3 linked regions of the Coturnix japonica genome follow. The protein of the gene in region 1 purifies or fractionates together with the protein of each later gene. This does not show direct contact. Links are inferred from orthologs where the notes say so. Each region holds a gene or a part of one and is shown in the gene's direction. Other genes may lie near its edges.

Region 1 (3,513 bases):
CCATACGTTGTCAGGCTGCCAGCTTTGGTGGCACACTGCAGTGTGACATGATGTGCAGGAGTGGCAGCACGTCTGAATAGGTGTATGAACTGTGAAACCAGAAGATACTGGAAGAACGTGAATTTTTCTAGACTTATCCTGTTAACGTTGGTAAACTAACACAGTATTAGTGTACTATGTGTGTACAAATGTGGTGAGTTCAGTTTGGGATCTTGTAAAGGTGAAATCATTCATTGAATGTCTCAGCATCTGTCTTTGTTGTCTCCAAATTGGTTGGAGAGCTGGAAGTGTCTGTTAATAATTCTCTATTTCTACTACTTACATTCCTTGTTTGTTGGCAAGTTACTGAATGTTCAGAGTGCAGTGTGATCTGTATAATGTCTTGTATCTACTGCTAGAACCAGTTGTCCATAAGGTTTTAATTTCTTATAAGAAAATTGATGAAATGCAAAACTCAGATCCATAATAAAGCAATATTTCACTAGAATCAGTCAGAGTTTGTTACATTCTTATATTGTGTTGCAGTGTGTAGTCAGAACTTCTGTTGAAGTATTAAAGGCAGTTTGTGATACAACTAAGGATGATTTTGGTTGGACAAACTCATCACATTTTGGTAACTTCATTAGTTAACTTCAAGTATCAGATAAGCAAACGAAGCTCAGTTATTTAAACACACTGAATAATTGAGCTGAAGTGTTTTATGTTTTCCTCCAGATTTCTTAAGGACATATGTGAGAACACTGTATACAAGGGAGCTTAGATGTAAACAATATATTTTCTGGGAATGTTTGTGGTGGTTATTGGGTAGAAGTTCTGATTGTTCAATTATTCTATTTCAGGATATTGATTGGGTACAGACAGAGAAACATGTGTTTGAACAGGCATCCAGCAACCCATTCCTAGTTGGTTTACATTCCTGCTTTCAAACAACAAGTCGGTAAGAAAGATCTGAAATCTTGTTTTGAAAACAGTGATCCTTGTACTGACTGCTTCTCGTAAAGGGAATATTACACTGTTGTGGCAGTCAGAAAGCTTTGGAAGGGTTCCATTGCTCCACCAACGCCAGTTCAGAGGGTGTAACTTAGTGCAGTGTGGAGCAAAATGCAGGGATTTCCTGCCCGTTATATTAATCAAGCACTGCTGTATTTTGTACTGTTTTTGATAGTGCTACACATTTCACAGCACATAGTGGATATTTGAATGAAATGGCTTCTTCCTGTTTAGTCTGGCTTCTTCATTTTTATTTGCTTTTAAATAAAGAATGTGCTCCTGCCTAATACGGGTCAAATAAGGATTCTTTTGTCCTCTTTCCTAATCTTAAGTAGTTGTGGTAACCATAAGAAACACGAAAGTCAGATTCAAGAGTGGAAGTGAAAATGGCTCAGATTGGAAGAATAGAAAGTTTTCTTCCTACTGAGAATTTGCTTGGAAGCCATTAATTCTATTATATACTTTCAGATTATTTCTTGTCATAGAGTATGTAAATGGAGGAGATCTGATGTTTCACATGCAGAGACAGAGAAAACTGCCAGAGGAGCATGCTAGGTATTTCACTAATCCAGCTGTTGTGGTTTTCCTTCTGTTATGTCATGTTGTATGAGATGCTTTTGGAAGCTTATTCTCTAAGAGAATATGAATAGCCAAGAGGAAACAGAAGGTTATTTTTGAGGATTAGAATGTTGTTCCATGGTAAGAAACGTTAACTGTTTTTAGAAGTATATGTGATAGTTTAAAAAACAAGCTAACAACTGAGAATTGGCAAACTATTCCTGTGTATTTTTATTTACCACTCCATGTTCAGTTAACGTTTCTTTGATATGCTGATAGATGATGAATAGAATTCAAAATTACATTTGCTGTTCTTAAAGGAATGGCTTTACAATGTAAGTTCAATACCTTTGTGAACAAATGGAGCTACTTTTCAGTATTCTGTCACAGAGACAAACTGGTTTTGTACCATCTTTAAGATATTCCTCTTTTATTTTCAGGTTTTATGCTGCTGAAATTTGTATTGCTCTGAACTTCCTACACGAAAGAGGCATAATCTACAGAGATTTAAAACTAGACAATGTTCTTCTAGATGCAGAGGGTCATATCAAATTAACAGACTATGGCATGTGCAAGGTAGAATTTCCTTTCCTTTCTATTTTTCCCTTCTCTTTTTTGGTCTCTCTGTAGTGTATTTCTCTGGTCAAGCTTTTAAGCCCAGCACCATACCTAGTGATAGCAAGGGAAAAGTGACAGAAGTTACCCTTTGCTTAACACCAGTGTTATTGAGCCCAGAATTTGGTTGTGGAATAGCAACTTAATGCTGCAAATTAACTGAAGCATAGGACCAGATTTGTAACTTCATCCTTCGTGTTTCTTATGCTGATCGCTTTGCAGGAAAGAAATTGACCTTGACTGAGTTTGTTTCTTCTGTTCAGTTTTCTATCTCAAAAGTAGAAGTAAACTACTAAAATGTTTTAAACTGTTTTATGTATGTAGGAAGGATTGGGCCCTGGTGACACTACGAGCACTTTCTGTGGAACACCGAATTACATTGCACCAGAAATCCTAAGAGGAGAAGAATATGGTAAGCTGAGACTGAACAGATTGATGTTATAACTGAGCGCAAAACCAAGTTAGAGTTGTAGCTTTGTTCAAATACTGTTGTTACTGAATTTCTTTTTTTTCCACCTATATGTAAAACAAACCCAGCCTTTTGATTTTAGAAGTCATTCATTTTGGCTAGTTTTAAATCCTACTTTCCCTGAGCAATGCAGTGTTGCTGTATCAAAATCAAGCCCCAACCCTTGATGTACTTGACATCCCAACTGCTATTGTTCCCCAGGCAAGGTTATGGAATGCTGTGACTAAGTTCATTGTTTATGCAGAAGTCAGAACTGTAATCTTAATTAGTGTTGTGGTTATAAACTGATCTGATCAGTAGGTTGGGTTGTGTATGGGTACCTACAGAATCTGTACAGGTTTCCTATGTGGCCCAAATTCCTGTCAAGTTCTATCCAGCAATACTGATTGTGTAGGACCAGGGCATTAATCCTCACATGATGAGAACTCTGACATTTGAGGAGCAGCTGAAAATCTGCTGTGTAAATATTGACAGGGTTCAGCGTGGACTGGTGGGCTCTTGGTGTATTGATGTTTGAAATGATGGCAGGAAGGTCTCCATTTGATATCATTACTGACAATCCAGACATGAACACTGAAGATTACCTCTTCCAAGGTATTGTTTTTTTCTATGATTTCTCTTGGGGGGAGGAATGATGAAAATTAAGAATTGCAGTAGGATACTTAGAATTACCTTCTCTTTTCCTTTCCTTGTATTATCTCACAGTTGCTAGCAGGTCTATAATATATGAAGTATTTTTAAGGTTTCATCCTAGGTATTTATTTTATTGAACTGTGATGAAATAGCCTGGAATTAGGAACCTTTCTACAGATGATAAAAGCATGTCAAAAAACAGATAGAAATCTGACTATTCCCTATTTATGCTATAAATGACAGGTTCA
Region 2 (4,029 bases), on another chromosome or scaffold:
TGTTTTGGTGAAACCTGTAGTCAAAATATAAGTAGCAAATGTAGTTGCTTCTAAGAACAGGATGTTCCAGATGGGAAAAACTTGGTGCCTCAGATGAAACTATGGAAAATGTGAGTTAAATGTTAACGCTTTGTTTTGTTGCATGTAGTTCTGCCCAAAGCCTTGACACTTTCCAAAGCCAGCTGCTCACTTGAAATGACTCTTGTTATACCGAGAGATGAAATTACTACCATATGTGGTAGGAGAGTCATTCTATTTTAATTGTTCTGTATTTCAGGCCATCTTTTGTGATTTGTAGGCTTTAAAATGCTATTAAACCTTTTGAAATGAAGTTTAGGAGCTTTACAAGGAGCTTACCTGCATGTGTGCTCAGTTTCTCTGTGAGTTCCTCCTGCCACCACTGTGTTAACTTCTAAGATCTGATGGAATTACAACCACTTGCCTTTATTATGGCAGTAAAGTGAGAATGTTTGGGTAGCTTAGCATTGCTGCTTGTAGCCTGTCCAAAGAGCATTTAGATCTGAGAGAGATGGATCTCTTGATGGGAAGATGGAAGTTTATAAGAATATGGTCTGACTCATTGCAGCCTTTCAATACCTGAAGGGAACTTACTCCCAGGAGGGGGAGTAAACTCTTGGAAAGGGCTGACAATAGCAGGACACGGGGAAATGGTTTTAAGTTGAAAGAGGGAAGATTTAGGTTGGATGTCAGGGGGAAGTTCTTCACTAGGAGAGTGGTGAGGCCCTGGAACAGGCTGCACAGGGAGGTTGTGGATGCCCCGTCCTTGGAGGTGTTCAAGGCCAGGTTGGACGGGGCCATGGGCAACCTGATCTAGTAAAGGTGTATGTTTGGTGGCCCTGCCAGGCAGGGGGTTGGAACTACATGATCCTTGAGGTCCCTTCCAACCCGGGGCATTCTGTGATTCTGTGACTTTGGGAAGGCATCTTTAATCCGGGGCTGTAGTTCTGTTGTTGATCTGTGTGTTGAGGTGGTTGATGTAGGTCATTAATTACAGCTGGCTGATTAAGACCTGCAGCTGAGTGGAAGGAATGTGGGCTCTTAGTCAGGTGAATATACATCGTGCATCTCCATCCCCAGCACAGGAACGGAACCGTTCGGCCCGACTCGCTGTTTCGTGGGACCCCGACCCCCCAGCGGGAGGCGGGCTCCAGGCTCGGGCCTTCCGCGCATGCGCACTGCTGCTGCCACCGAGGCGTGGCTGGAGGACCCCCCTCACCCCGCCGCCATTTTTGCCCCCTCTGCCGGCGGCGGCGCTACAGCGTTACCAGCCCCAGAGCCGGCCCAGGAGGGAGGCGGCCGGAGCCAAGATGGCGGCGCGTGTGCTGCTGAGGTGGAGCCCGGCGGGAGCGGGCGCGGGGCCGCGTCTCCCGTCAGGCGGCGGCCTGACCCTCAGGTGAGCATTGAGGGGGGCGAGGCGGGCGGGAGAGGGCGGCCCAGGGAGAAGGGGGAGGCGGGGGAGGGAGCAGCCGCCGCCCGCTCGGATCCCACTGCCACACACGCTCGGCCTCCCCTCTCCCGTCTGGAAATGGCGCCCCTCTGTCGCTGAAGGGCCGCAGCCGGGCCCGCCGCCTCATGTAGGGCGGGGAGTGCGGCCATGGGGCGTCCCTCAAGGTCACGGGCAGCGAGGCCGGACCCCTCCCCCGAGTCCGCCCAGGGGTGGGGATCGCGTCAGGAGCGCGGCCAGCGCCGCGTCGGGCCCTCGGGGTTAGAATGGGCAGCACCTCTGTGTGTCCTCCACACATCCTCGGGGTTACAATGGGCAGCAATGCCCGTGGGGTTAACGCTGCCAGCAGCTTGTTGAAGCAGGTGCACACAGTGTTGTACTTATTGAGTTCCGAATCAGCTTTGACGTCTGTTTAGCAAATTAAAAAGTGCCTGTTACAGACAAGTTGTTTTTCTTTCTCTTGCAGGCAGACATTGATTACTACTGAATCTATATATTTCACCTGATACCTCCCACTCTACCCACTTTATATTGTATGCTAACGCAAAAGGCAGATGGAAATGTCCTCAGCAGCATTGTTAATTTAATATGACCAAGTTATTCATTGTTCTCCTCTTATGGTCTCAGCCCAATCTTTGTAGCAAGAAATCTGAGCCTTTAGATAACATTTGCAGGACAAGCATTGGCTAGCAAAGTTAAGCAGTGCCTTAAAAGGTTGCATGAAAACTCTTTAATAAGCATCATTCCTAGAAAATAAGAAGTTGTGAGCCGTGATGGTAATTCCCTATAGTGTGTACATTCCCTATAGTGTGTACATATTCATTCTGAGCATTCTGGCTCTTCTTGAGGTGACTATGGGCACAGGTGGCCCAGGCAGGTGAGCTGGCAGTCAGCTTAGTGCATTTTGGTTTGTGGGTGTCCAGATGGACACCAGTAGTGTATCTCAAGGGATATGGTGGTGAAAATTAAGGCTGTAGACACTCAGTGTGTCTCGTCTGAGATGCTGTTTTAATCAACTTCAGCAGTTACCATACTTTATTGTAAGTAAAGTAAACATTTAGATGGCTAGTTGTGGTATATTAGTCCTTGTTGATACGGAACTTTATAGTTCCTGAGTAAATGATTGCATAATCATCTGTAATACTTGTTTTATTCCTCATAGAAGAGCGTTCTGAATGGGAGAATATACCAGTAGTGTACAGGATGATAGAACAGGCACTGCAGGGCTGAAATGGAGTCGTACCTCCTGGAGCCCAGTTCTGTGTCTAGTAGGTGTGTTGTCACCTGTGCCTCTCTCCTCCCTCAGTTGAGATCAAACCTCTCCTCCTGTACCACCCTCTTCTGGCAACAGCTGTATTGACTGGACAGGAATGTGCTTGTATGTTTGTTTAGGGCTGAATAGACCCCTGTGTTCAATAAATAAGACAAAATACCAATTACTTCTTAGCATCAAAATTTGTCTTGGCTGTGGTTGTTTTGGTTCTTACTATTTCTTTGCTCTGAAATACTTCTCAGTTCATCTGTTCTGCTTCCACAGGGTATCCCAGTTCATTAGGTTTTCAGATGTTGATTGTTGAGGAGTGCTGCTGGTGCGAATTCCTTCTGTGTAATACAGACAATTGTGTTCTTTGAGATTTATTTTTTTTTCCACCAAAAGAAGTTGATATTTTCTTCTATTTTTTTCTTTTCCTTTGAGGAATTGTCAGAAAGTTTTGATACTGGAAGAAAGCTTTGTATCTGAAGATCGAAACCTGGCATCTGGATCTCATAGTCAGTGGTGCAGGGTATTAAGTTGACTTCTGAGATAGAAAATGGTTTAAATTTCCACCTGGGCTGCTGGTTCCTTAGTACTTCAGATAAATAGTTTAATATTTCAGCAGAAACTCTATATCATAAAGGGGTGGACTGAAGGAAGTGCTTCCTTTGAGTAAGAAGAAAAAGCATTCAAGCTTGGGGCATAAAGATTCAGTTAAATACCATAGATGTGTCACTTAACTTTTCCTTTCCAGGGCTGTATTTAAGCATACATAGGAACATATGGCACTTATTTACACTGTACAAATCTTTCCTTATGCCACTTCTTGCTCTTTTTCATTCCCGTCTGTATACATCAAGACAGACCTTGGGCAAATACACTTAATTAAAAAGAATATAAAAAGACAACAAAAGCAGCCACCTACCCATTTCTTGCATTGCTTACAAAGAATGAGAGCAGAGAGAGCGTGGTTAAGTGTTCAGCTCTGTATCACATAAAATGGTTTGTGAGGAGGTAAATCCCAGTGTGAAAAGAGCTGCCTTTACCTTGCTGCCAAGTGGCTCAGTGGAAAGACTGAGGGACAGAGCTGGGTGTAACTGTTATAATTTTGTTTGTATTATACTTGATTGTGCCCGTCTTCCCTGCGTTGTGGGCATTTTCAAGACGTGCTCAGTGACAGTGTAATGTACTTGTTAATATGTAGGGGGATGGTATCTTCAGCTAGCAGACCTCGTGAAGACAGTTGGTTAAAATCGCTATTTGTTCGCAAAGTCGATCCAAGGAAAGATGCTCACTCCAACCTTCTAGC
Region 3 (3,983 bases), on another chromosome or scaffold:
TTATCCCTGGTAATAGTGATAGCATGAGAAGGAATGGCCTCAGGTTGTTCGTTCCAGTTTGCTGCATCCCACATCAGGCTGAAAACCTCTTGAGTATTTAGATGAGAAACTGACCAAAACCCACATTTCAGCTTCTTCCTTCCCTTCCCTTCCCTTCCCTTCCCTTCCCTTCCCTTCCCTTCCCTTCCCTTCCCTTCCCTTCTCCTTTCCTTTCCTTCTCCTCTCCTTTCCTTCTCCTCTCCTCTCCTTCCCTCCCCTTTCCTTCCTTTCCTCCCTCCCTCCCTTCGCTCCCTTCCTCCCTTTTCCCTTCCCTCCCCTCCCTCCCTCCCCTTCCCTCCCCTTCCCTTCCCCTTTCCTTTCCTTCTCCTCTCCTTCCCTCCCCTTTCCTTCCTTCCTTTCCTCCCTCCCTCCCTTCCCTCCCTCCCCTTCCCTCCCTTTTCCCTTCCCTTTTCCCTTCCCTCTTTATTGTAAGTCAATCTATAATCTTACTATCAAGCCATAAATCATACAATATTCAGGGAAACTCTGCCGTGCTATTTGAGCTATAGCAACTTGAAGGTTGTGTTAATCCCAATGGTCTGTGGCAACGAATCAGGTGAGACCCGAGAGTGGCCTTTTACTATCAGAAGGGGGAAGCAGTGAGAAAGAAGGGGACGGATTCTTCAGCAGTGTTAGGACAGTGATCATAGTATCACAGTCTCGTGCGGGTTGGAAGGGACCCTAGAGATCATCGAGTCCAACCCCCGGGATTCGAGCCTCTGTGTAGCAGAGCGGCACTTCTACCACTTGCGCCAAAGGGGGATTCGAACTCAGGGCCTGCGGTGTTGCAAAGCAGCATTCCTACCACTGCGCCACCGGGGCACACAGAGTGATAGGACAGGGGAACTATTAGTGCCAAACTAAGCTCAATGCTATCACTGCAGTAGGTCCCAATGGGATCAAACAGCCGCTGCCCGCCACCCTACACCATGAGGGCGGGCACACAGCGCCGAGTGGGCGCGGCCACGCGGTTAGTGGGCGTGTCCTCCCGTCCCCCCGCCGCGGACGGGGCCGCGCTGCTGTCGGCAGCCGGATCGCGATCGCGGTGTTGCGGCCGCTCTCATTGGCGCGCCGGGACAAAGTGTCCGTAGCGGCGTGGAGCGGAGCGGAGTTGGGCGCCGCGGGGCGGCGGGGGGAGGAGGAGGAGGAGGAGAAGACGGGGGGGGCGGCAGCGGCGCGGAAGATGAACCGGAGCTTCAACAAATCTCAGACTCTGCGGTATCTGGAATGCAGCGCGGTGGAAGTGAAGAGTAAGGTGAGCGCGGCCTCGCCGTACGGCCCGGGGTGCTGAGGGCGGGTACTCGAGGGCTCCGTTCCCGGCGGTGCGGGCGGGCGCGAGGGGCCCCGTGCCCGTGGCCGCCGCTCGATCTTTTGTTTCGCCGCCGGCCGCTCTCTCGGCGGGGCAGCGCGGGGAGCTGCACGGGCTCCTCGGCTCCTCAGTGCCACTGAAATAAATGATGCGGGGTTACTGATGTCCGTCCTGCTCCCACAGCCGGGCTTGAGCTGCTCCCGGGTTGGGATGCGGCCCCTGCGCTCATGGCGAGTTGTGGTCCTGTTCTGTGAGTGCTGAGTGGTGCTCGAAACACATAAGCTCCGGTCTGGAGTACTGGCTGTTGGTAAGAATGGATGTGTGCACTCTTCCTTCAACTTAACGTATCCATTGCCTTAATAACAGCTTTAAAAGAGTCCTATAATAAAGGCTCGGAGCCTTGTTTACAGCTGCAGCGGTCCATAGGGTCCTGCACCCTGCCCTGTGTAGGTGCAGGGCGTTAGGGGGCTGTGAGCACACACTGTGTGGGCAGTGAGAAGGAGCTACTTGGTGCTCACTCCTGCTGTGCATAGAGCCCATGGGGTCCCTCTTACAGCACTGTCCTGTGGTAGGGATAGAGCCAGCAAGAAGCTCTGGTCGGTGCTGCTACATGAGGGGCTGTGCAGGACTAGACTCCAACTGCTGTTGGGAGCACCTACGTACTTACTTGCCTCTGTTTTGCAAGCACGAGGCCTGCCCCAGCCTGCCAGAAAACCAGAAAGTTGAGTCTGCGTACTGTTGGTTGGTGCCTGTCGGGCCTTGGCTGGGTGCTGCTGGGCACCATGTTGCAGCCACCAGCTGGGGGGCTTCATAGGGCTGGGGTGGGCTTTGTGGTGGAGGGGCCCAGTGGAAGCACTGCCTTGGAGCGGGGCATTCCTTTCCTTGTGGGTTGAGTCAGACCTGGAGGAGCTGTGGGGAGTCGTACAGGCTGCAAGCTTGACTTTTAAAATTCTATTTATTTATTTATTTAGCCTATGGTGTGATAGCCAGGTGATTTCCTGCCTACACCCAGCTAAGTGTGTAATGCGTTAGGCCGCCATGTGGAAATGGCTTCCGCTGTGCATCAGGCCAGCTTTTTTTCTCTGGGCAGATGGAAGGTGCTTTAGAAGTCTCCTGGTCACTGAGTTGCAGTAGGTCCCGAAGGGGAGGAGGGAATATGAGCCCTGTGCATGTGTCTGCTCTCAAACATGGCAGTAACTGTAATTGCAATTGCAGAGTCTTGTGCTTTAGGGAGCCGTCTTCCTTCAGGCCTGTCCTGCCCCCATCTCCGCCCCTGAAGCCGGCCTTATAATCAAAGCACTTGCAAGCTTATTGCTGGGTGGGAGAGGAAGGAGAAACCTGCTTAGAAATTGGCACATGTCAAAGGAAAATAATAATTGAATTGTAATTATGTCTTCTCCCTTTTCTCTTCTCGAGTGTTTCTCAACAGTGTAAATTAGAAGCTCAGTTGTTATCTAGGTGTTGTCCCTGTCGCTCAAAATAAATGTTTCAGCCTTTTTAGACAGGATCTGAAGCCACTTTATCTTGCAGGCCTGAAAGAGCCGTGTATTCTCCTATGTCTCATACTTGCCCAGTCTGGTGACAAGTGGTGTGGCTGCTCCCTTTGAAGAAATCACCTCTAATCTCTAAAAAAAGGTTTCCAGATGACTCTTTCTCTCCCATTTACCAAGATTTCCAGAGCAAACAACGCGTGGGGATTCTTGTTTTATTAAGAATCCTTCCTGTTGGCACTAGATCACAAACCTATTCTTCTAGTCTTCGTTTTTCTCTAGCTTTACTGAGAGGTTGAAGGCCCCTCTCTTTGTGAATGTAAACCTATAGAAGAACCAGGACTTATAAAATAGGAATTCCTGCATTAATACTGAGACTTCCTCTTTAATTACAGCTCTGTGTAGTCCATCTTCTTTCACCCTCCTCCAATTGAAAAATTGCTTTATTTTCTCTAAGTTGTATATACTGATAAGAATTCTTTTTCAGGTTTTAAAACACACTCTTAGATGCCAGAAAAGAAATAATCCTTTACAAAAGCCATCTTGTTTAGCTGCTGTTGAGAACTCTGATCAGTAGTTGAGGACTATGGAAGTACAGCTGCCTGACTCAGGTGCTGGTTTGGATGCTTGGTGCTAGTCCTTGACACTGCTGCCATGTTAATAGTGTCGTGTTTTCTTGTACTACAAACTGATAGACAAATGAACAACGTGACTAACATCCTCCTACTGTAAACAAGCCCGTTAAGATAAACATACTAGTTAACCATAACTGTATTTCCTTTGCTCTCTTCTCCCACCTAATTTCTGCTTTGTTCCAGTGAATGTTGGTGTTCAGCCGAAAACCCTGTATGTTTAAAAAGGTTTGTGTTTTTAAGTAGTACTTTAGTTTCTTCCAAGTTAGGTTCGTATTTATCGTACCTAGAATGCAATGAAAACAAGTGCTGCGAAAAATCCTATGACCAGGTGTTTGAACTGCTGGTTTTGAGCTTCGAAACGTTGAAGAGAACTGTCCTGCTGCCTTGTGTTATGGTATTTCCCATACTCTCCTGTGCTTCAATCCACCTCCAGGTTCTCACCCCTGCTTTTGTGGTCACTTTTATCCTAGGGACTTAGGAATTCCTGATCTGCTTGAAATTCCATCCAAC

What was found. The genes of interacting proteins can lie anywhere in the genome.
Region 2: the proteins of PRKCZ (region 1) and NIPSNAP2 purify together in Homo sapiens (affinity purification with mass spectrometry; 3 studies listed by BioGRID and IntAct, counting the BioPlex papers as one, with this or other methods). This does not show direct contact. The link is inferred for Coturnix japonica from reciprocal best matches to the Homo sapiens genes PRKCZ and NIPSNAP2.
Region 3: the proteins of PRKCZ (region 1) and PARD6G purify together in Homo sapiens (affinity purification with mass spectrometry; 6 studies listed by BioGRID and IntAct, counting the BioPlex papers as one, with this or other methods). This does not show direct contact. The link is inferred for Coturnix japonica from reciprocal best matches to the Homo sapiens genes PRKCZ and PARD6G.

The regions. Positions count from the first base shown.
Region 1 is NC_029536.1:1,535,549-1,539,061, reverse strand, and holds part of PRKCZ (protein kinase C zeta type), read left to right. Parts: intron 1-839; coding exon 840-937; intron 938-1,458; coding exon 1,459-1,545; intron 1,546-1,988; coding exon 1,989-2,124; intron 2,125-2,487; coding exon 2,488-2,575; intron 2,576-3,106; coding exon 3,107-3,226; intron 3,227-3,513. UniProt on the Homo sapiens protein: Calcium- and diacylglycerol-independent serine/threonine-protein kinase that functions in phosphatidylinositol 3-kinase (PI3K) pathway and mitogen-activated protein (MAP) kinase cascade, and is involved in NF-kappa-B activation, mitogenic signaling, cell proliferation, cell polarity, inflammatory response and maintenance of long-term potentiation (LTP).
Region 2 is NC_029534.1:3,695,148-3,699,176, forward strand, and holds the start of NIPSNAP2 (protein NipSnap homolog 2), read left to right. Parts: upstream 1-1,224; 5' UTR 1,225-1,328; coding exon 1,329-1,414; intron 1,415-3,198; exon of another isoform or gene 3,199-3,235; intron 3,236-3,924; coding exon 3,925-4,029. UniProt on the Homo sapiens protein: Protein involved in mitophagy by facilitating recruitment of the autophagy machinery required for clearance of damaged mitochondria.
Region 3 is NC_029517.1:80,911,816-80,915,798, reverse strand, and holds the start of PARD6G (partitioning defective 6 homolog gamma), read left to right. Parts: upstream 1-1,178; 5' UTR 1,179-1,222; coding exon 1,223-1,294; intron 1,295-3,983. UniProt on the Homo sapiens protein: Adapter protein involved in asymmetrical cell division and cell polarization processes. May play a role in the formation of epithelial tight junctions. The PARD6-PARD3 complex links GTP-bound Rho small GTPases to atypical protein kinase C proteins.